3 separate regions of the Mus musculus genome follow, and regions 2 and 3 are each reported to be linked to region 1. The links are microRNA targets in miRTarBase. Many come from high-throughput screens and were not tested one by one. Region 1 holds a microRNA gene; each other region holds the end of a gene's coding sequence.

What was found. The annotated mature microRNA mmu-miR-3083-5p reads AGGCUGGGAAUAUUUCAGAGAU and lies in region 1 at 3,763-3,784, shown strand. An mRNA with a match to its seed (bases 2 to 7 or 8) in the 3' UTR can be bound and repressed. Matches are read on the target gene's strand: a 7mer-m8 pairs with bases 2 to 8, a 7mer-A1 pairs with bases 2 to 7 and ends in A, and an 8mer does both.
Region 2: the mRNA of Ncbp3 is a reported target of mmu-miR-3083-5p. Seed matches in the 3' UTR shown: 7mer-A1 at 3,318-3,324 and 7mer-A1 at 5,037-5,043.
Region 3: the mRNA of Cpox is a reported target of mmu-miR-3083-5p. Seed matches in the 3' UTR shown: 7mer-A1 at 5,911-5,917.

The regions. Positions count from the first base shown.
Region 1 is chr17:26,944,385-26,951,876 of GRCm38, reverse strand. Mir3083 (microRNA 3083) reads left to right here and starts at 3,758; the gene lies at 3,758-3,821. Syngap1 (synaptic Ras GTPase activating protein 1 homolog (rat)) reads right to left here. Exons shown (of 19, transcript NM_001281491.2): 2 at 7,123-7,244; 3 at 5,139-5,244. It overlaps Gm51291 (predicted gene, 51291), which reads right to left and starts at 3,817; the gene lies at 3,761-3,817.
Region 2 is chr11:73,078,081-73,085,572 of GRCm38, forward strand. It overlaps Ncbp3 (nuclear cap binding subunit 3), which reads left to right. Exons shown (of 13, transcript NM_025818.3): 13 at 861-5,499. The coding sequence ends at 1,096. Among named protein-coding and RNA genes, the nearest start is that of Itgae, 8.8 kb to the right of the region's middle.
Region 3 is chr16:58,677,742-58,685,233 of GRCm38, reverse strand. It overlaps Cpox (coproporphyrinogen oxidase), which reads right to left. Exons shown (of 7, transcript NM_007757.2): 6 at 7,185-7,289; 7 at 4,843-6,564. The coding sequence ends at 6,477. Among named protein-coding and RNA genes, the nearest start is that of Cpox, 11 kb to the right of the region's middle.

The sequences.
Region 1 (7,492 bases):
CTGGGGACTCCCAAGTAAAGGCTGGCGAGAAGGGGGGGTGGGGGGGAGGTGAATGCGGATGAAGCTCAGCCTGTCAAGAATCGAAGGAACAGGAGCTTAGAGGAAGGGAGCCGAAGGTCTGCTGCTAGGGAATTTGGAGGGGCCGAAGGGCTGAAGGAGAATGAAAGTGGGGGGATGCCAAGCTCCGGCTCCAGCTCCAGAATGGCTGCCCAGGCCTGGGCTCCCCCCTCAGCCCCACAGTCACCACTGCAGCCAATGGGGGGGCTGGTGCTGCATCAGGGGCGGGGCCACCATCTCCATGGCAACAAGAAGCTACAGGCTGGGGGGGGGGGGTGCGACCGGAAGAACGGCTTGTTAACCCGCTAGGTTCCAGAAGAAAACAGTGAAAACCCCACTACATTTTCATGTCTGCTTCCAGACTGCCCACTGCCTCAGAGCCGGTCCTTCCCTGCTCCTTTTACGGACAGATTCAGGTTTGCACACACAAGCAAGTCTGGATCCCGAGACGAGAACCCTCTCAGTCTCCCAGGAATCGTGTGTAGAGCACAAAAATACAGCAACCATGTATATCACAGCCGCATTAGGAGAAATAATAGGAAAGTATGTGCTTCGGGGAGACGTACAGACAGCCTTGAGCATGGGGACCCCCACATGCCTAGACATTTGTGAGCACTGCCATGGGGTAGACACACTTGAACTCAGACAGCCACATGAGAACTGCTGGAGTGGACTCTGCGGCCATCATGTGGGCAGTACCCTACATAAATGGACATGTAAACCCTGAGACCCATGCTTAAGTAGGCTGTAGCCCCCTGGGTCGCCCCTGCACCGTGTACACATACATCCTGACCATGGTCAGATAAAGCACAAACACTCATCCTTCACATTAACAGTACAAACACATTCATTGACTCGGGACAGCTCCCTCCTCTCAACACCCCCCCCCCCAGCTTTCTTCTAGCTTTTCCATGACTCTAATCACCAGCATCTGTGATGGCTACCAGGAAAACAGAACAAATAAAACAAAAAAATGAGGAGCAAATGTGTTAGTGAGCCTTGTGTCACCCAGAGCCCCGCATGGCTCCCTCCTCATCCACTCTTCTGCATCTCTCAGGTATGGCTGCCTTACTCTCACTCCAGGGAACCTGGGTCAGCCATTATTTTCACACACATGCATCTCTAATAAAGGCATAGAGGCCTTAAGTTTAAATCCACTAAAACCTTCTTTTGGAACTACAAGCATTTGCAGAGGGGGCAAAATCAGCTAATTGCTTTGTACAGTTCCTGGAGGAAAGACACACCATATCAGGACCTCAAAAATAAGTCATAGGTGCATGGAGGCCACACACATGTTCCCAAGGACTCTGACACAAGAACGAGGCAAAAAGCACAGGAGAGGGCAGACTGACAGGAACATGGGGTGTCCTGTCATTAGTGCTGCCTGCGGTGACATAGACAGAGAAAAGCACACAGCCATGTACACACAGCAAACCTGAAAAGCACACACTGCCATGCTGGGTCTCTATGTCCCATCCCTGCATGATAGATACACTCAAGCACACACACAACAGCCACCTACACAGACCCGTAACATAGGCATTGTGCATACACCCACACAGTACACACCCTGCACACACACACACACACACACACACACACACACACACACACACACAGAGCAAGGGCTTGGACTCCGCCTCTCCAATGTCTCTAATCTTGACATCACCCACAAACATTTCTCCTACCCTCCAATCCCCCAAATCCCTACCCTACGTGTAGCCTTTCTTCTCCATATCCAGCTGACAGCTCTCAAAGGGAGCCAGGGAGAGAGGGTGCCAGAGGAAGATGAGGAGCTGGGCTAGAGAGGGAGCAGAGAACCTGGGGGGAGGGCACGCTCTGCAGTCTCCGTGGTGACAGGCCTCACTGGGAAGCAGCCTCTGTGACTGGATAGCCTCCTACAGACGGGGCAGCCTAGGCCCTCCTGCATCCACTTCTCTCCACCCTCTCAGAATGCTCCACAGAGAGGCCTGGCTCTTCAGCTACCTCCCAACTTCCCTGTCCTCTGCCCTCTTTTCTCTAAGTCCAGCTCAGTGCTCTTAGATTCCCATTCTCCAGACATTCTCTCTCCCTTGCTCTTTGCTCTCCTCCTCTTGGTGACTCTCATCCTTACTTCCCTCTACCCCTTCACTTCTTTCCCTTCAAGCTTTTCTGTCCCCATCTAGGGGCCAGGCAGAGAGGCTCATATCTGCCTAGTCCAAAGGTGTTTCATGCAGTCAGACTGTAAGGAACCATTCACACACTTTGTCCTCACCACCGGAACACTGGCATACCACCACCCACATCCAGACACGCCCTGGACACCCATGCTGGGACTGACACAGATTCTCAGGCCAGTGTTGGAACACACATGCAAAGACACACACCTGCCACCAGGGACACTGAAAATTCTCATTTGGCCAGCCACACATTCCTACACATCAACCTCAACCGGGGACATGCACACTCAGGGTCAGAGGTGACATGAATTAGTATGTCCACAGACTGCCCCATAAACCGGTGGCTGGCCCCACAGGCCCTCAGGCTGTTAACTGGCAGAGGCGGGGCAAGACAGGACATACCTGCACAGTGCTGGCTACACGTGTGCAAGAGGATTTGGGCCCCATGTGCACATGCACCGACACACAGGGGCACAACCACGGTCAAGATCACATACGCAAACACCAGGGCTGGCCCTCCAGTAGGGCTCCAAGACCCCCTCACACCAGCCGCCCCCACGCGCGGTCACAAGCAGGAAGCTGCCCAGACCCCCTCCCTCCCGACCTCTACTGCCCCCCCCCCCCGCTCCGGTTACCATAACTCCCCCCACTCGGAAGATGCAGCGAGAACATGCGGAGGGAGCAGCTGCCGCCGCCGCCGCCGCCACCGCGGCCTCCCCAGGCCCCTCCCGTACCCACGCACACGCGCGCCCCCGCCCCACGCGCGCAGCCCCCCACGCGCGCGCTTCGTCCGCCCGGCCCCGCCCTTACCTCGCACCGCCCCCCGGGGGGTCGAGGGTGTCCCCCGATGGGGGAGGGGCCCGCTCTGCGCGGGGGAGGGGCGGGTGCGGAGGGAGAGGGGGCGGCGGCCCGGCTCGCGCCGCCCGACGCGGTGGGGCGGTGGCGGGGCCCGGGACGGCCTGGACGGCCGCGCGGTGACAGCCGCGGGAACGGCTCCCTCCGCCGCCGCTCCCGCCGCTGCCGCCGTTGCCCGGGCCCCGCCGCCGTTGCTAGGCGACCGCTGCTGCCGTGGCCGCCTCTGTCACGAGCCCCGTCGCCCGGAGACAGCGCGAGAGAGACGGGGGAGGGGGACAGAGGGACCCCCAAAACCAACTAGGCCTCCCATCATCGCCTCGTGAACAGGACCCCCACCCCCAAAAAGAGAGAGAAAGAGAGAGCTAGAAACCCTTGAAGGGAGTGAGGGTTTGCAGCTCCACCCAGCAGAGGAGGAGCCCTAGATTCCAATGCCCTCAAAGGTCCGGCGACCTCTCCCGGGCTGGAGCGTCCACAGCCTCAGCAAACACCTTTGCAAAGTGGAGCCCCCCCCCCCAATCCCAAAACCCTTTATGTCCCCTGCACATCCTCCATGCCCTTTACACATTCTATTTTCCTCAGAAGATTCCAAACACTCACCACCTACTAACTTCTAATAAACCCTGCCTATATATATATATATATATATATATATATATATATATATATATATATATATATATATATAAAGTAAAGGCTGGGAATATTTCAGAGATATATATGTATATCTCCGAAACATTCCCAGCCTTTACTAAGCCCCAATACAGTCAGTAACCTTTACAGGCCACCTTAACTTCACCCTAAACACAGGAGACCCACACCAAAGGCCTCAGCACTCTGAGGACTCTAAGGAAACAGAACTGTGTGGGCAGAGCGGCCAACTGCCAACAGCAGGACACATGACAAACACGCTCTGTGAGCATGTTACCATTCCAGTGCACACAGGTACACACTGCACAAACAAAAAACATGCCTGACATGGACTCGACAGACAGACATCACCCATTCTCTATACACTCTTCACCACAGCGGCCTCCTGGTTAGCCTCAGCGTGCTACCTACACCCTCATGTCAGTTTCCATGACAGTGACATACATCCCTGACCACCAGCCTGGGGTGCCAAAGCTGGCCCCCAAGGGCAGTGAGGCCTAGGCCTATCAGCAGGCAGCTGGCTGGATAACAGGGGCTTCTGGTTCTCTAAGGAAGCCTGTAACCCTGGGGAGGAAGAAATGGTGGGATAAAGGGGTCTCATGGGGTTGGGTGGGCGTCATGGAAGAGAAATGCTGAGGAACTGGGCAGTGGCAGGGGGCTTCCGGGGACTGAGGGCGTCTCTCTGCACCTTGGCTGCAGATCCCTGTTCTCTGCCTTCATCTCCCCTCACTGTTCCCATGGAAACCTTTTAAGCGAACTTCTCAGAGGAAGACAAAAATCTTTTTTTAAATGACTAAAGAGGGGGGTGGGGGGCAGAAGGGAGGAGGAAGGGGAAGAGACAGATGGAGAGAGGGAGAGAGTTGGAGAGACAGTGAGGAGATGGGGGTCTGACGGAGTTCCCAGAGCAGAGGGGAGGAACACGGGGATCAAGGGGAAATGGAAAATGAGAATGGGGAAAATCAAGAAAATAGGGAGTGATACGACTGCAGAAAACGGAATCAATTGAGGGGGAAAGATGAAGGAAAGGCCACAGGCCTGAAGATCTGGAAAAAGATGGGAGCTTGCGAGCGGGACTCGGGTCTGGGGGAGGGCAGGGAATAGGTCATTCCAAGTTCTCAGAAGGAGGATGCGAGGGCCTGGGCCAGGAGCACAGACAGGAGACTAAAGATCTAAGCAGATTATTTTTACAAGCACCAGGGAAACAGTCAAACTTCACTGCTGGAGAGGAAAGGGGAGCAAAGCTAAGCAGTGTATGGACGCGCGGGGGCCGCTCACCAACAGCCCCGGTACCCCGCGCAGCCCGGCAGCCCGGACGAGGGCGCCCTGTCCTCGGGATCGGGATCGGGATCACGGCTGCTCTCCGCCCCCGCCCGCGCTCCCCGAGACTGTCCGGGGCACGAGCCTGCTCGGCCGCCGTACCATGCTCGCCGTGGGGCCGCCCCTCCACTGGCACAGAGACGGTGCGTCTCAGCAGTTTGTTTCGGCTGGACTCGCTCCTCCGGTCGCGGATCAGAAGGGGGTGTATCTAGGGGATTGGGGAGTGTGTCAGACCTCACGGGCCTGCGCCATCCCTCCTTTCCCCTTTCATGGAAGGCCGGCCCCTTGCCAGCCCACCTGCCCCTTCCACCCCTGCCCATTTCCCTTGGCCCTGGTGAGGGGACTTCTCGTTTCCCTGCTCTCCCTCCATTTCTCTTCAAACAGTTTAGAGAATTCTCCCAAACCCCACTAGCGCTTCCAGCAAATCCACAGGAGTTAGCTACCTCCTGAGTCTGGTTTCCCTGTGACCTTCAGTTCGTCCATTTTCCCCCGCTTCCCTCCCAACCTCCTACCTTCCTCGCCCCCTTCTCTCTCTCAAGCTTGTCACAGCTGCATTTATAATCAGTTCCACAGCTTGTCTCCCTCCCACAGCCCGGCTTGCGGCCAGACTGGGACCCAACCTCCCCTCCCCCAAAAAGGCCTGGTCACCTCCCCCCACCCCCCTTTGCATCTTCTTCCTTTACCCTCTTCCCCTCAGCTCTACCTTTCCCTAGGCCTCACCTCAGCTCCCCCTGGGAGTCGTCATCCTAACCTCCACCCCTACCAGAAGCTAGACTCCCACGAGGCCCCAGCCCCACCATCCGCCCAATTCTAGCTCCCAAGGGCCTTCATTCTTCCAGCTCCATCTTCGCCTTCCCACTCCCACCTTCCTACCAGACAGGCTATTCCTGTTGGCCTCGGGTGGCTAGTGGGTCCCCTGTCTCCATGTCTGATTCCTTCCTTCTCACTGCTGCACTTCCCACTCCTATCGGCTCTTTTTCCCAGACCACCCAATGGACTTCAAATCCTTAGTCAAGGCTGATGACCAATAGCAAATCACTCAAAGGCCTTCCAGTATTCCAAACTTAGGTCCACCAGGCCACCTCTCCTGCGGCCAATTACCATGCTCCCTGTCAGACACTTGTAGTTCATGATCTGGACATTCTCTGTCCACATTTTCACCTGACTTCAAGGCTCCTCTACACCCTGGTTAGCCCCAAATCCAGCCCAGCCCCCACAGTGTTTAGGCACAACTCTCATTGCCTCTACTGGGGCACCCTACACTCTCTGAAGATGGCTCCCCAAATCACAAATGGGGGCCTCACCCTTCAGAATTGGGCCCATTCCTACTATGGAACCAACACCCTTTAGACTCTTAGACCTCACATGACCACTAACCATCTCCTTCCAGACGCCCTGCCCTGGCCATTCCACCTCCTCACTCTGGCTAGTCCAAGTCCTGCTCCTGTGCACAGGTCCCCACACTACAGTTGTCTACCTCTTCCTTCCATGTCCTCTCCTGAAACCCAACCTTCCCTGTAGAGGCAGAAGGAAACCTAGTCTGAAGCTCACACCATTTTTGTTTCCATTCATGCCAAAATCCAGTGACCCCTGTGGTCTGTCAGTCCCTCCAGCCGCTCCCACTTCTCCTGACTTTCCTCAGGATCGCCTAGTCTTAGCCTGCACTGTGCCCTGTGATGAAGAGCTAGGAGAGGCGGGGAGGAGAAAGCTGAGGACCCCTTTGGAGGAAGGAAGGCCCCCCTTCCTCACTTGCTTTAAGCTCTTCACTTTCCTTCCCCCATAATATGGATAGGGTGAAATCAGTAGGCACCCTCACGACTTCAGAACCATAGCTCCTCCGCAGCACTTCCAATGGCCTCAAAGACCTTCTAGTGGAAGTCAAAGAAAGGTTGTCTATCTTCTTAACACCTTGGCTGTGTACAACAACCCCAATGGCCGCCCTCCTCCCACCTCCTGTCTCTTTTCCTTCCTGTTCTTAGGGCTCTCTCTCTCTCTCTCTCCCGCTCACTGAAGAGGACTCTCCCCATCGTCCTCTCTCCGTGGTCAGTCTTCTCCGCTTGCCCCACCTCCTCCTCACCCCGCTCACCTCATCCTCATCCAGCATGAGCAGCTGGTTCCCCGAGATGATGCAGAACCGAGGGTTCCAGCCAGGACGATCGTACGGGGAATGAACGTATTGGGTTCGGTGCATAGGGGGTCCCCGTACATCTGGGGGACAGAGACACACAGACAGTGAGGGAGGGTCTATACGCTGGGTGTAGAAACCTAAAGTGGGAAGGAGAGTCTGCAGAGAGGGAAAAGGGGCACCACCCGCCTGGAGAGGTCTTGGGTCGGGGGATGGTCCTTCATGCTGAGTGGCATCATGGGAGGTTCCAGGAAGGGGATGAGCGTGGCTTCAAAGATGAGAATTAGTCACATGACAGAGAGGGACTTTACTAGGGGCAGTAGAAGGGGGA
Region 2 (7,492 bases), not on the chromosome of region 1:
AGGTAGGTCTGTGTTTGTTCCCTCTTCAGTTAGCATGACTTCCTTTGTCTACATCAGCATCAGCACCATGCCTACAGGAAAGTTCAGGAAGGAGAAAGGAGAAGCTATACATCCTTGCTGCTTTTTAGTTTCACATTATTTAGTTTCTTTGTTCACACATATATCTAGTTTTTTTTTATGTAGCCTTTTTTTCTATAACTCTTCCATTTTGCTTTACTCTTCATAAGTAAATTAAACCTTTAATTATCTTGTAGTATATGTATATCACCACATTCTAAACACATGCTTCTTTGTAAGGTTTTAATAAAACACTTCTTTTGGGGGATTTTTTTTATGTTTTGCTTACATGTTTGTCTGTGTACTGTGTACATGTCTGGTGCCCTTGGAGGTGGGAAGAGGGCATTGGATCCCCTGGAAGTGGAGTTATGGACTGTTGTAAGGTACCATGTGGGTGTTGGAAACATAACCAGGTCCTCTGCAAGAACAAGTACGCTTAACCAATAAGGCCTTCAGCCAATACATAAACACACTTTAAAAATGTATAGCTGAAAACCTGAGAATTGCTCATAGTAAAACAGACCCGTTCAGTTTGCAGAATGTGAGAGTTGGCGGTTTCTTGGCAGACTGAGGGGTACACAGCCTGGGAGAGAGGCAAGTGTCTAGTTTGTGCCTGGTATGGGGACACCAGCCTTGAGCTGTGAGCATCTCCCATCGAGTCTCAGGCTGTCCACTTACAGACTGGCACCAAGCACCTCTCCCGATGTTTCCTGCAGAGCAGGTGTTGGCAGTGTCCTTACTTCCACAGAACTACTTGGTACTCGGCATCGACTGCCAACTGAAGTGTCTTCTCACCCCAACAGGTGGTTTGTGGACTCGCTTAGGATCTACACCCAAGACCAAAGAAAAGAACACGAAGAAAGTGGATCACAGGGCATCTGGTGCTGAGGAAGATGACTCGGAGCTTCAGAGAGCATGGGGTGCTCTGATCAAGGAGAAAGAAGAGTCTCGCCAGAAGAAGAGTCGGCTGGATAGCTTGCCTTCGCTCCAGATTGAAGTCAGCCGGGAAAGTAGCTCTGGTTCAGAGGCAGAGTCCTGATGCCCTGGCCTTGGCAACTGCCCTTAAATCTGACATTCTTACATAAGGTGGGGCGTGCAGTGGGAACCTCCCTTGCAGGAGCTGGCGCCCTTTCCTCCTACCTGCACCCTGAACACTTGCTGTCCTAGTAGGACAGCTTAAGAGTGTGATGAGTTTTGAAGGAAGGGTGTCTCTGTCTTGTGCTGCAGAGTTACAGTTCTGGGTCCTCAAGTCTTCCCCACCACCCCACAAGCTTTACCCTTGGAGTTAAAGGCAACCCTCCAGATTTTGTAGACATTTTCTTAATATTTTTAACATTGTGTCTTTTAAAAGCAATGTTTTACACAGTCATCCAAAGAGCCGAGAACTGAACTTCTCATTGTTGCCTTGGCCCTGACAGATCTTGCCAGCACCCTGTTCCAAGAAAAGTCAGTTCTCAGGTGCTTACTGGACAGTCTTTGAGGGGGAAGATGAGGGAAGCTGCCAGCTCAGCCTTCCAGGGCCTTAGTGTGGTGGCTAAGTCTCTCAGACCTGACCTGAGACCCTCCCGAGTAGATATGCTTGCAGCAGCAGTCAGCAGTGGCTTCCATTCCTCCCGGGGGGAGTCTTTTAGAGCCTTTTGCTGGCTGGTAGCCTGGTGTAAAGACCAAGTTCAGTGCTGTAGGACTTCTAGGGACAAACAACTGTGACTTCTGGATTTGGAGTTGATTTCTGTGCTTAGGGGTGGGGTCTTGGGTTGATGTTGAACAATTTTTAAGTCTGTATTATGTTTAAAAACTATTAATGACTTAAAAGTTTAAATTTTTAATTTTTATATGTGGATATTCCTCCTGTTGGCTAAGGGGAAGCTCAAGTGGTGTCTTTTGTGTTGTTAAATATACATTATATACTTTGGAAGAAGGCAAAGAAAGGAGTGTCATTATTTTGAATGGTACCAATTGTATGGTCTGTTGTACTTGAGTTCAACTTGCTTTGTGGCCACTGTAGGAAAGAAACTGCTGTCCATCTGTGATGGGCTCTTGTTTATTCCCACTTTTCTAGAAATGATACCCTGAGAATTCACTCTTTGTGTCTCTGACTTATTATTGAAGACTTATTCAAAACTAGCAAATAAGACAGTAGTTTCAGAAAATGTAAGTTTATGTTTATTCTCCTTTCAAATGATTTTACCATGGAAAGGGAGTAAGTAGATTATTTGGCTTCTCATCTGACTTTACTTTATAGTATTTAATACTGTATTGCTCTACAGGCTTAAAAGTGGTGTTTCACTTGAGTGCATAAGCATGCCTTTGGGATGTCAAGCTCTTCACCTGCTCGGCTTGTTCTGTGCCCAGTAGGTCACAGAGCACTTGACTTGTGGTTGAGCACGTGTCCCTTGGTGGCTGCCTACACTGTGAATGAACAGTGATGCACATGAAGAAGCAGAAGACTTCAGAACTAAGTCGTAACAAAACTGTATCATATGTATCATTTGGTTAGCAACCCCACCCCACCCCCATCTCCACCCTACCCCCAGAAAGATGGGAGCATATAACCAAAGTGGTTTGGCTTCTGAGGATCCTAGAAAAAGGTAGTTCTAATTTCTCTGCCAGTTCAGACCTAAGTCCTCCAAGGTTTCTAAGTTTATCTTGCCCTTTGTAGCTCACAGCTTACAGTCAGGTTCTTAGAGGTTCAGACTTTGGTAGAGTAAGAAGAAAAATGGCCTGAGAACAGAGACCTGGATGCCAACCAGGACTCTACACACTGGGCCTGAGCCTTGGTTTCCCCATGAAGCAAGGAAATGGTCTGGTGCAGAGATTCTGGCTTTGTTGATATCTCTCAGTGGTATTTTATTCTTGGAAGTTGTGGCTGCAGCATGTTTTTCTGTTGAGGTGGCCAAAGTGTCAGGGAACAAGGTGGCCATGAGATTGTGAACAGAGACTCACCCCATCCGTTTACAGGCTCCAGTTCTCCCAGTGTGTTGAAGATGTGCCTGTGGGGTCTAGAGCCCCAACCCATCCTCAGCTTTCTTATTGTTCTATCTGGCAACCCAGGCCCATTTGCCTAGGGTCTTTGAGCACTTGTCAACCTCCTGCTAGAGATGAGGGGAGGACTTTATGGAAGGTAGGCAGTATGTATTCAAAACTAACTCCTTGAGCTGACCAGGAAAGATGCCCTTGAGCAGCATTGCAGTTTTTACAGCACAGACAACCCAGAAACGTACATACTGCCTAAAGTGATGGTCTGCCCAGCATCTCTCTCTCCAGCCAGCTCTCAGAGCTGCCCAGAGCTTCAACACCTTGAACCCTATGTGCTTAGGAGTGACAGTAGTCAGGATAGCCCAGCAGGCAGCTGGGTATACTTTATTCAGGGCACTTTCTGTACATGTGGGGTTAGTCTTTATATGTAGGAGATTATTAAATGCCCTTTTGCTGCTTCATAATAATTGCAGATACCTCATCTTTGTTTCCTACTACTCTTCTTTGTAGAGGGGCCTGATGGCCTCTGGCCCTCCTCTATCATAATTCCATGATTCCTTCCCCTGCTTCTGTCTTTCCTTTCTGCGGCAGCTTCTCTCAACCCTCCCTCTTCATTCTACACATTGTAGTGGGGGCAAATTTTTACTTGAGAGATACGTACATAGTATGCAGTTTATCCTTGTACAGTGTACATTTGATTGTCGTCTATTTACAGAGCTGTGGAACCATTATCATCATCAGTTTTAGAACATATTTATCACCAGAAAAATCCTGTTCCCACTAGCAGTCCTCCTTCACCTCTCCTCAGACCTGGCAACTACTAATCTTTCTGTCCTTGTGGATTTGCCTATAACGGACCTTTCATAAATGTTATATGCGATGTGCAATGTGTCTGTTTACTTAGTTTTAAGGTTCATCTGTGCCATGGTATATATCATCATTTCAAGTAGTGAGTACCTCTCTCTCTCTCTCTCTCTTTCTCTCTCTCTCTGTGTGTGTGTGTGTGTGTGTGTGTGTGTGTGCGCGTGTGCGCTTAGACATTTTCATTGTGTGGCCCTGGCTGCCCTTAGAACAGGCTGGTCTTGAGTTCACAGAGGAAGCTCTGCTTCCCAGGTGCTGGGATTAAAGGTGTGTGGCACTGTGCCTGCCAGTGGGTTTGTTTTGTTTTGTCTTTTCTCTTCAGTTTTTTAAATTGTCTAAATATTTCATTACAGTGCATATAATGGGCGTTCTGTGATTTCTAGTCAGGACGATCATGAATAGGCTTCTGTATATATGTGTGTGCAACACCCCTTCATGTTCTCCTTCATGGACATGTGGGGGTTTTGGTGGTGGTGGAGGTGGGTTTTTGTTTGTTTGTTTGTTTTTGTTTTTGAGACAGGGTTTCCCTGTGTAACAAGCTCTGTCTGTCCTGGACTCAATTTGTAGACCAGGCTGGCCTCGAACTCACAGAGACCCTCCTGCCTCTGCTAGCCAAGTGCTGGGATTAAAGGGGTGCACCACCACACCCAGCGTGTTTTCATTCTTTTGTATAGGAATAGAATGGATGGATCGTAAGGCAGCTCTTACCTTTAGTCTTTGGAGGAATTGCCAAGCTGTGTTCCCATGGAGGATATCAGGATTCCAGTTTATCAAGTCTTCACCAATATTGTTTACTAATTTGAAGTGTGTTTCATTGTGTATGTGCTGTGTTTTATTTTGTGGCAGTGCAGGGGACCAGACCCAGGACTTGCAGATGTAGACAAGTATTGTACCACTGGGCTCCATCCACAGTCCCTTAGCTGGTTCTGAGTTGCAGTTTCCTAATAACTAGTGATGTTGGCCATTATGTCTTCCTCTTCCTCCTGTGTCTGTGTCTGTGGTTTTAAGATAGGGTTTCATGTGTTGGACAATATTTTTGTTTTGTCTTTTTTTTTTTTCAAAGATAGAATTTCTCAGGCTGGGGAAATAGGCTTACAACCAAAAATATAAGAGTTCGGTTCCTAGCACCCATAGCTGTCTCTCCAGCCACAAAAAAAAAAAAAAAGAAAAAGAATTTCTCTGTGTAGCCCTGGCTGTTCTGGAACTCCAGGCTAGCCTCAGAGTCAGAGATCTGCCTGCTACTGCCTCCTGAGTGCTGGGATTAAAGGCATGCACCACCACGCCTAGCTATGTTGGGCATATTTTCATGTATAACAAGATGAACTCTTAAGATATCAATCTGATCTTAACTATGCTTGTGCTTGAGACCTTTCCAGAACTTCATCATTGTTTCTGGAATAAAATTTCAAACTTCTGGGCTGGAGAGATGGCTCAGCGGTTAAGAGCATTGACTGGCTCTTCTGAAGGTCCCGAGTTCAAATCCCAGCAACCACATGGTGGCTCACAACCATCCATAATGAGATCTGATGCCCTCTTCTGGGGTGTCTGAAGACAGCTACAGTGTACTTACATATAATAAATAAATAAATAAATAAATAAATAAATAAATAAATCTTTAAAAAAAAAAAAATTTCAAACTTCTTTGATAGCCTATGGAGCTGTCAAGATATAGTCTCTGACAGTATCTGTACCTGTTCTCTTTTCTCCCTTACCCTCATGGCTACTAGTTCCTGTATCCCTCTTGATTTCACTAGCTTTCCAGACTGCACAGTGTATGCCTTCAGGTCCCGTTGCAGTTCTGCCTTCTTTATTTCTCTTATGATCAAGGTTTTAAGAGACAGTTGTCTACTTTGGTTTCCTTTTATTTTTTTATTTTATTTTATTTTATTTCATTTTATTTTGAGACAGGGTTTCTCTGGGTAGCCTTGGCTGTCCTGGAACTCAGTTTGTACACCAGGCTGGCCTAGAACTCAGAAATTCATCTGCCTCTGCCTCCCAAGTGCTGGGATTAAAGGTATGCGCCACCACGCCCGGCTTGGTTTCCTTTTATGCATGTCCCAGTATTGCCATAAAGGAATCTTAGCTGACTCCTGGGTTAGATCATAAGTCAATGCCCAAGGTAAAAATTGAGTAATCAAAATACCTCTTGGAAATCCCAAGGCAGGCGCCACATTGAAGGCTAGCATCATGAGGTTCTTGCAGTCAGTTCTTGCCTCTGTGGGAGGAGATCACTGCTTCTTTGGTTGAGTACTAGGTAAAGTAGTTGGCCCTGCAATTTAGAACCATGTCATTCAAATGGCCCCTTATTTTGGTGTCAGAACACACTCAGTGGGGTCACTTTTAAGAAGCTTGGGAACTCGGGCTATAGGAGCAGCAGCAGGACACAGGATGTCCAGCTATCCTGGGCTTACTGATGGGAGTACAGAGATAGTGTGGCTCCATCACCTTGCAACTGGCTTTTTTTTTTTTTTTTAAACTTTTCAGACGGGTGCTTCCTGTTTGATCCTGTGACTCGTATAATGCAAACCACATGCCCCGAGCCCAGCACACCTCGCTGTACTCTTACTTCCTATTCCTGGTTAATATGACTGCTAGCTTGTAAGCTCACGAGAGCAGGGACCATGTTTGGCTTGTGCATTGGGCCTTCTCCATGTTTACTACCATTCTGACCCAGCAGGTCCTCTGTGAGATTGCAAACCCCCAGCCAGAAGAGCCACTCCACCCTCTGAGGTCCCAGGCCTCTTGCAGGGCAGGCCACACTTTTCTGCTATGTATATGCAATGCCTTCTATTCATGTCTTGTTCTTGTTTTTCCTTCCAGCCTGTGAGCTCCTAGGGAGCAGGTGTCTTCATGTTTTCTCATTATCACTGAACCAGGCCAGTCTAGTCAGTGTAAGCAGTGCTTCGGAAGTATCTGCGAAGTGAATGAATTGTGACAACTCAGCTCGCACACCATCCCGTGCAGGCTTTTCTATTCTAGCTGAGCTCACCAGATGCACACGGAGAAGAGTATTCATTGGCACATACCATTTGCGCAGTAAGGAGCAGTTCTCATTAAGCAGGTCTCGGAAAACGTCAGCTGTTAATGATCTGCCAAACATCGAAGCTGGAGCTCATCCAGCCCTGGGAATGTTGCCCCAAGCTCAAGGACAGTTTTATTAGGGTTTAAAAGTAAAATACCAGGCAAGTTGTACATCCCAGCCGATGGTGAGAAGGAAGGAAACAAAAGGTCACACTGCCTGAGTTAAGCTGACTTTTGGACCTCAGCCACATCATGACCAGGAGGAGGTTTAAAGAAGGAATAAGAAAGTCTATAGTACTAGAAAGAGCGTGCCTGGGTCTGACCAGCATCTAAAGAAAAATGGATTAGAGTCCCGGAACTGTGGTCCCGCAGAGTTGTGAGCTAGGAACCCAACCCCAGCCCAGATCCACTACGAGAGCAGCAGTTGCTCTGAGCCATCTCTCCCGCCCTGACATTCCTTTTTTTTAGAATAGTGTTCAACTGCCCAGGATAGGAGGAAAGAAGTCTGGCTGATAAGTAAGAGACCCCAAAGAGGGAACACCGAACCGATTCTTAGCCCCTGGTCCTGTTGCTAAGT
Region 3 (7,492 bases), not on the chromosome of region 1:
ATTTATTTATTTATTTAGTGCATTGATGTTTTGCTGCATATATACCTGTGGTGGTGGGGGGGGGGGTTAGATCCCTTGGAATTGGAGTTACAGTTGTGGGCTGCCTTTTGGGTGCTGAGAATTGAACCCAGGTCATCAGGAAAAGCAGCCAGTGTTCTACCTGCTGAGCTGTCTCTCCAACCCCAAAATATATTCTTTTAAAGTATCCCTTCATGTTGAATAGCATAAAAGAGGAAGATAATAAAAACTACCTTGAGTAGAAGCTGCCGAGTTGTATTGCTGGAGATACTAATTAAAATATTTTAAAGGATATTTATTTATTGGCTGGTTGGGTTTTTGGTTGGTGGAGCTGTTGGTTTTGGTGGGGGGCATGCATTGGAATTTTTTTGTTTTGTTTGTTTGGTTGGTTTTGTTTTCTTTAAGGTATATTTATTTAATGGATGAGTGCTCTATCTGCTTGTATACCTGTGTGCCAGAAGAGGGCATCAGATCCTTTTATAGATGATTGTGAGCCACCATGTGGTTGCTGGGAATGGAACTCAGGATGTCTAAGAGAGCAGCCAGTACTCTTAACCACTGAGCCATCTCTCCAATCCTTTGTTTTGAGACATGGTTTCTCAATGTCCAGGAACTTGCTCTGTAGACCAGGCCAACCTGAACTCATAGATCTGCCTTTCTGCCTCTGCCCCTGCCCCAGCCCCAGCCCCTGCCACTCAAGCACTGGGATTAAAGGCATACATCACTATCCCAGCAAGGATATTTATTGACCCAATTATTTTCACAACAGAACTTCAAGAATTTGATAAGCTGGGTGGATTCACATATTATATGTGTTGTTAGCAGGATGTACATCCCAGATGGAACAGATCATGTAAAGGGCTTTCTGCCTTACCCATCTGAAAACTGGAAGTGACCTTAGTCACACCTGAACATGGAAAAATTGCCATGAAGACTAATTTATATATGTGTTTTCATGCCAGATGATGGTGGCCTGTGCCTTTAATCCCAGTACTCAGGAGGCAGAGGCAGGCTGATCTCTGAATTCAAGGTCAATTTAGCCTACAGAGTTCCAAGACAGCCAGGCTACACAGAGAAACCGTGTCTCAAAAAAAAAAAAAAGTGTGTGTGTGTGTGTGTGTGTGTGTGTGTGTGTGTGTGTGTGTGTGTACTAAAATGAACTTTTTAGTTGGGGGCCTTACCAACCACTTCATAAGCAAATTACCTATGACAGGGTAGTGTGGCAACTCTCATCCTATGGCCAGCTTTGTGGTAACTTATTGAGAATACGGTGGCTTAGATCGTGACAAATTGTGTGTTAAAACGTGTTTTTTTAATTATTGGATATTTTCTTTATTTACATTTCAAATGTTATGCCCTTTCCCAGTTTCCCCTCTCCCCTCCAGAACCCCCTATCCCCTCTCCCTGCTTCTATAAGGGTGTTCCCCCATCCACCCACTCCCACCTCCCCCCCCCCCTGGCATTCCCCTACACTGGGGTATCAAGCCTTCACAGAACCAAGAGCTTTTCCTCCCATTGATGACCAACAAGGCCATCCTCTGCTACATATTTAGCTGGAGCCATGGGTCCCTCCATGTGTACTCTTTGGTTGGTGGTTTAGTCCCTGGAAGCTCTGGGAGGAACATATATATATATCCTTTATTTACATTTCAAATGTTATCGCCTTTCTTGGTTTCCCCTACAACCCCCCCTATCCCCTACCTCCTTCCCCTGCTCACCAATCCACTCACTCCCCCTTTCTGGCCCTGGCATTCCCCTACACTGGGGCATAGAGCTTCATAGGACCAAGGGTCTCTCCTCCCACTGATGACTAACTAGGCCATCCTCTGCTGCGTATGTAGCTGGAGCCATGAGTCCCACCATGTGTTTTCTTTGGTTGATGCTTTAGTCCCTGTGAGCTCTAGGGGTACTGGTTAGTTCATATTGTTGTTCCTCCTATGGAGTTGTAAACCCCTTCAACGCCTTGGGTCCTTTCTCTAGCTCCTTCACTGGGGACCCTGAGGAACGTGTTTCTCAAGTGTGAAATAGATACGAGACTGCAGGGGAGAGTTCAGAATACCAGCTGAATGAGCTTAACGTGTAGACTTGAACTTGGAATGTGGTTTAATGACCTTGCTCTGCTGGCACACCTCGCTCATAGAAACTGGTCTGTGAGGTTCTCTATTGTGACTGGGACTCCAGGAACGCAGGAGGATTAGTCAAGCATTTGTAAGCCCTAGGCTCACTAACTTAAGTGTCCTGGTTAAGGGTTATTATGAAGTTAGACCTTCTATATTTCTTTGGGAGGCACTAAATTTTAAAATGCGGGCTTTCAAACACCTAGCTAGTATTTATGGTGGGGAACACAATTTTTAAATGGACTTTTCTAGATACACCCTTGGAACTCTGCTTTCATGGATTAGGAATCACATACAGTATTAGGTTTGATATCAAAATATTCTGCAAAAACAGTTGTAAACAAAGGATTAACAGGGTCCTCCTAAGTAATGTGAATAAACCACATCTAACACAATTTGTTTATAATGAAATTTACATCGAATGACTACTGTAATGACAGTAATAATAAAAATAAGAAATATGTTGCACAAGATAAGACTATTTCCAGGGCAGGATTCTTAGAGATATGACAAAGTGTGAAACAGTCCGAGCAAAGACAGCAAGTACCAAAAGACCAGAGGGGACACAACTGAGAGGATGCTCATAAGACAGTCTGAAGGCAAAGTGCACAGGAGAAAAAGGACGAGAGGCCAACATCAACAAGGGCCGAATAATGGACTGGTTTCAACGTCAGGATAACTTAGAATTGTCTATAGGACTTGCTTTGACTATTCAGGATGGAAGTGTCAAGGGATCTAGATAAACAATTCTGAAGGACCAGAGTGACTAGAGGCAAAGCAAGCTTTAGGGAATAATTCTGCGCCCCCTGCCCTCCGCTGTGGGAACCAGAAGAACACATAACAACACAGAACTTCAGAGGTTAGACCAGAACACAAGACATGACACTTCCCTCTTGTCCCATGGTGGGTGTGCTGAGCTACCAGGAGGCACCACGCCCTACTGTCTAATATGGAGGGGACTTTGAGTTACCCAGGCAAGGCTCCTCACACAGTTTCAAACTTTCAAGTAACGTATATCTCGTTAAAATATAACAAAAGACCCATGAAAGATTGTGTCCTAATGAAACGCATTATTTGGCTCAGATCTGGGCATGTCAAAGTATTACACTTAGTTGACCATTGTTGTTTGACTCCTGGAAGTTCACACGATGCAGATTTGGTCCTCTCTGTGGGTTTTTCAAGATGGTGGAAACTTGAAGAGATCCAGATTAATGTGAGGGAGTTAGGTCACCAGATACACTGTTCTGAGAAGGGATAAATGACGATTCCTCAGAAGTCAGTTGTCATGAGAATGATACAAAGGACATCCCCTGCACCTGCTTGGCTTATACTGTAGATGGCCACTTCTCTCTTCTCTGACACATTGTGAAACAGCCAAAAAGGCCCCGTTAAAAGGCCAAACTGATGGAGCTGCCTGATTCTCAATTTTCAGCATCCAGAAGGACAACCTAAACCTTTCCTTATGAAATACCTAGCCTTTGGTATTCCATTACAGTAAAAGAAATCCGACTAATCTAAGCAAGCGCAGTGCAGTAGTAGGATGGCAGTTATATACGTGTCCCTGTGTATGTATATCTTGCCTGATATACCCTTATAACCAACAACACGCCTGTGTCAGACAACAGGAGTTAGGTGTTTATACCACATGGGGGTGTACCTTCACCTTGTAAACTCAGAACAGATGTCAATAAGATTTTGAAAGAGCAATTAATTTTGAAGAATAGGGCTAGAGAGATGTCTCAGCGATTAAGAGCACTGACTGCTCTTCCTAAGGTCCTGAGTTCAAATCCCAGCAACCACATGGTGGCTCACAACCACCTGTAATGGGATCCAATGCCCTCTTCTGGTGTGCCTGAAGCAACTGTGTGTGTGTGTGTGTGTAGCAAATGAAAAAAAAAAAAAAAAAAAAAGAATGTTCTTCAGGTTTACATCTGTTCCTGGTCTTCCAGACAGAGTTCAGAGTGGATACTGAAGAATCCAAACAAAGGTGGTAGGATTTTAAAACTTCATCTGTGTCTGTGTCTAACACCTACAAGCCTTAAATACAATTAAATCAGCCAGGGATCTTTGTGATCCACCACCACCACCACCACCCCAGTTCTGGGAATAAAATTCAGGACTTCATGCATGCTAGACAGGCTCTGCCATTAAACCATATGCTCAGCTTGACATTTTTAGCTCTTTAAAAGGTATCCAGACAGGGGTATGTGAACATCTGTTCTTATGTCTTTCTTTACTGAAAGGTTACCTACAGATATAAGAAAATTCTCTGATGTTGTAATGCTGAGTTCAAGGGAATTTGATAAATGTACAGAGTATAATCACCTTTGTCACCTCAGCCACAGAACAGGTAACACCTTAGTGCCCCACCTGCAGCCGCTGACTGCTTCCCTGGTGAAGTCTTCACAGGTGACATTGGACAGCAGGCACTTTTCTGACATCTTCCTGATGCCTTGCACACTAGCATTTCTCAGGCAGTACTCCTTTCTGTTGCTGAGTTTTAATGTCTGCATAAGTCACAAACTGTTTATCCATTTACCTGCTAATCTGCACTTGAGTTTTTAATTTTAACTATTTTTAGTAAAATGGCTAAGAAAATAAAATGAAAAAATGGATCTCTCTCTTGGGTAAAATATCTAGTAATAAAGAACTACTACTATACCGAGAAATATTTGTACTAAGTTATCACAATAAAGGAAACAAATACTTTTCTTATGTTATAATAAAATTTATTAGCTGAATCTATGTAAGACATGTTGAAGAATCTGTAGATTTTCTTACCCTAAAAGTGGCAAACACAATCACATACATCCAACATATTCCAGGATAATATTTAAATATTGTTCTTTACAAATTCAATATATTATAAATCAAGTAACATAGCGCAGTCAGACTATTATTTAGACAAGTAAACCACACATTAAGAAATCGGCTGCATATGTAGCAGAAGATGACCTAGTCGGCCATCATTGGGAAGAGAGGCCCCTTGGTCTTGCAAACTTTATATGCCCCAGTACGGGGGAACGCCAGGGCCAAGAAGTGGGAGTGGGTGGGTAGGGGAGTGGGGGGGGGGTATGGGGGACTTTTGGGAAAGCATTTGAAATGTAAATAAAGAAAATACCTAATTTTTAAAAAAAAAGAAAGAAAAAGAAATCTGCTGTGACTTTTAAAAGAAAAGATAAAAGTTGAAGAATCTCTAATTTAAAAAGTAACACAATTTCTATTGGCCCATTTTTTAAATAAAAAATATAAAATGCCCAGGTTAGACTCCATTCTCTTTAATTAAAGAGAAAAAAAATGTGTTTCATTTGTCCTTAGGCTAATCTCCCATATCTAAGTCTCTAAAATATAAAACTTTTAAGTATCAGAATCCAGGGATATAAGCTTTCACTTTCAAAATTACATAGAATCCTAATGTTAGCTAATTATGATCTCACAAAAACCTTACCACTGAAGATATCACTTATTTAAATAATAATAATGCCATCTGCAGTTGTAAACTAGGTCATCATTATATAATACAAAAACTGACTAAAGAAAATTTCCAGAGCTCTTAAATAGCTATCTTTAAAAAAAAAATGAGTATTTTTTTATAATATTCTGGAATATAGAGAAAGATACATGAAAATTACGTCAAAGAAACTTCAAAAGCAACAAAGAAAAACATGTTTCTTCAAATTGCTTTCTTTCTTTCTTCCTTTCTTTCTTTTTTTCGTTTTTTTTTTTGGGGGGGGGGGTTGGTTCTTTTTCAAGACAGGGTTTCTCTGTGTAGCCCTGGCTGGACTAGAACTCCCTTTGTAGAATAGCCTGGCCTCAAAATCACAGAGATCCACCAGCCTCTGCTTCCTGAATACTGAGATTAAAGGCAAACATCACCACGGACTGGCTTCAAATTGCATTCCAAAGTTCCCAAGAAGGGCATCCTGACTGAACTAATGAAGATAAAATGTATTCCCTGATAAACTTCTGTAGCAAAAACTAAAACTTCAAGCAACATATAAAATGAAGAGTTTCCTGGTACCTATCATAGTATTTACATTCCCTTATCTCAAAGACCTGGAAACACAATGTCAAACTGACTGGTCACAGAAAATTATTCTAAAAGTACAAATGGATGTCACAGACAAGGAATCTGACAGTTTGACATCCCCACCCACCTCTGAGCCACCTCCTCCCACAGCACTGGAAAAGATCAAAACCGCCTGCCACAGACGGGGTGCCCAGGGTGAAGAAGGCGGGGACAGTAAGGCACGGAAGACACTGCCTGCCACACAGTGGCCACAGTGCACGAAGACACCACCTGTGTCCACCAGGCCCTGGAGCAAGGCTCTGTCTGATGCATCAGTGCACCCAGTCCTTTGGATGGCGCAACACTTCCAGAATTTCAGCTTCTTTGGAATTCTCTGGGGGAGAATGCATGTACTCCCATCTACGCATGTCCAAAACGAAACAAAAAAAAAAGCAAACAAAATAACAATAAATGACATACATAACTAATGGAGAATAAAACCCTAAGAGTAAAAACAATGCATAGTTCCTCCACCCCACTGTGACTACTGTGTCTCTACTATATATATATAAAAAAATCAGCTACTTAAGAGAGTAAATTTCTTAATAAGTCTTAGGAATATCTGGGTTAATACTAAGATCCTTTCATTACAAACTTGGGTTTCATAAAGTATAGAGCCTTGGGTAGTACACAGGTAGCTTAAGTTTTACACTACAAATGTATCTTTCTAGAAAGAAGGCTGTGAGGAAAGGCCAGACTCAGCTTCCCACTTGCTCTCTCCACATCCTCAGATACAAAGCGCATAGGACACACATCCTGTCACTTCTTACAGAATCCAATCTGGGCTTTATTCTCTCACAGTTTTCTTATAAAAATCAGACAAACATAAATGAAGTATTAGGTAACACCCTGTCAAGGCTAATGTGCAGATTCCATGGGGCACAGGAAGTTACTATGACAGGAGTTACTCACTATAGGACACTGAGTTACTATGACAGAGTTACTATGTCAAGGGTTACTATGACAAATCAGCTTCTTACCTTGCTGTTAGAGGTAAAGACATCAAGATACTTTCGATCCTGGATCCTGGAGTAAAGAGGCCAAACTTGGTGCCCCGATCATACAACAGATTAAACTCCACATACCTGTCAGAAAGACACCAGATAGTCGTAAAGGTGTGTTGAGCGAAACTTTCTAGAAATCCTTAAGGAAAACGAAGAGTGGCCCTTCTCCCCATATCTCATACCAACTAGCTTACACACAGCACACAGCTTACACAGCCCAGCGAGCCCTCTCCTCTGGAAAGCGTAAATAAAAGGGCATTCTACCCGCCAAACAATTGGATGCA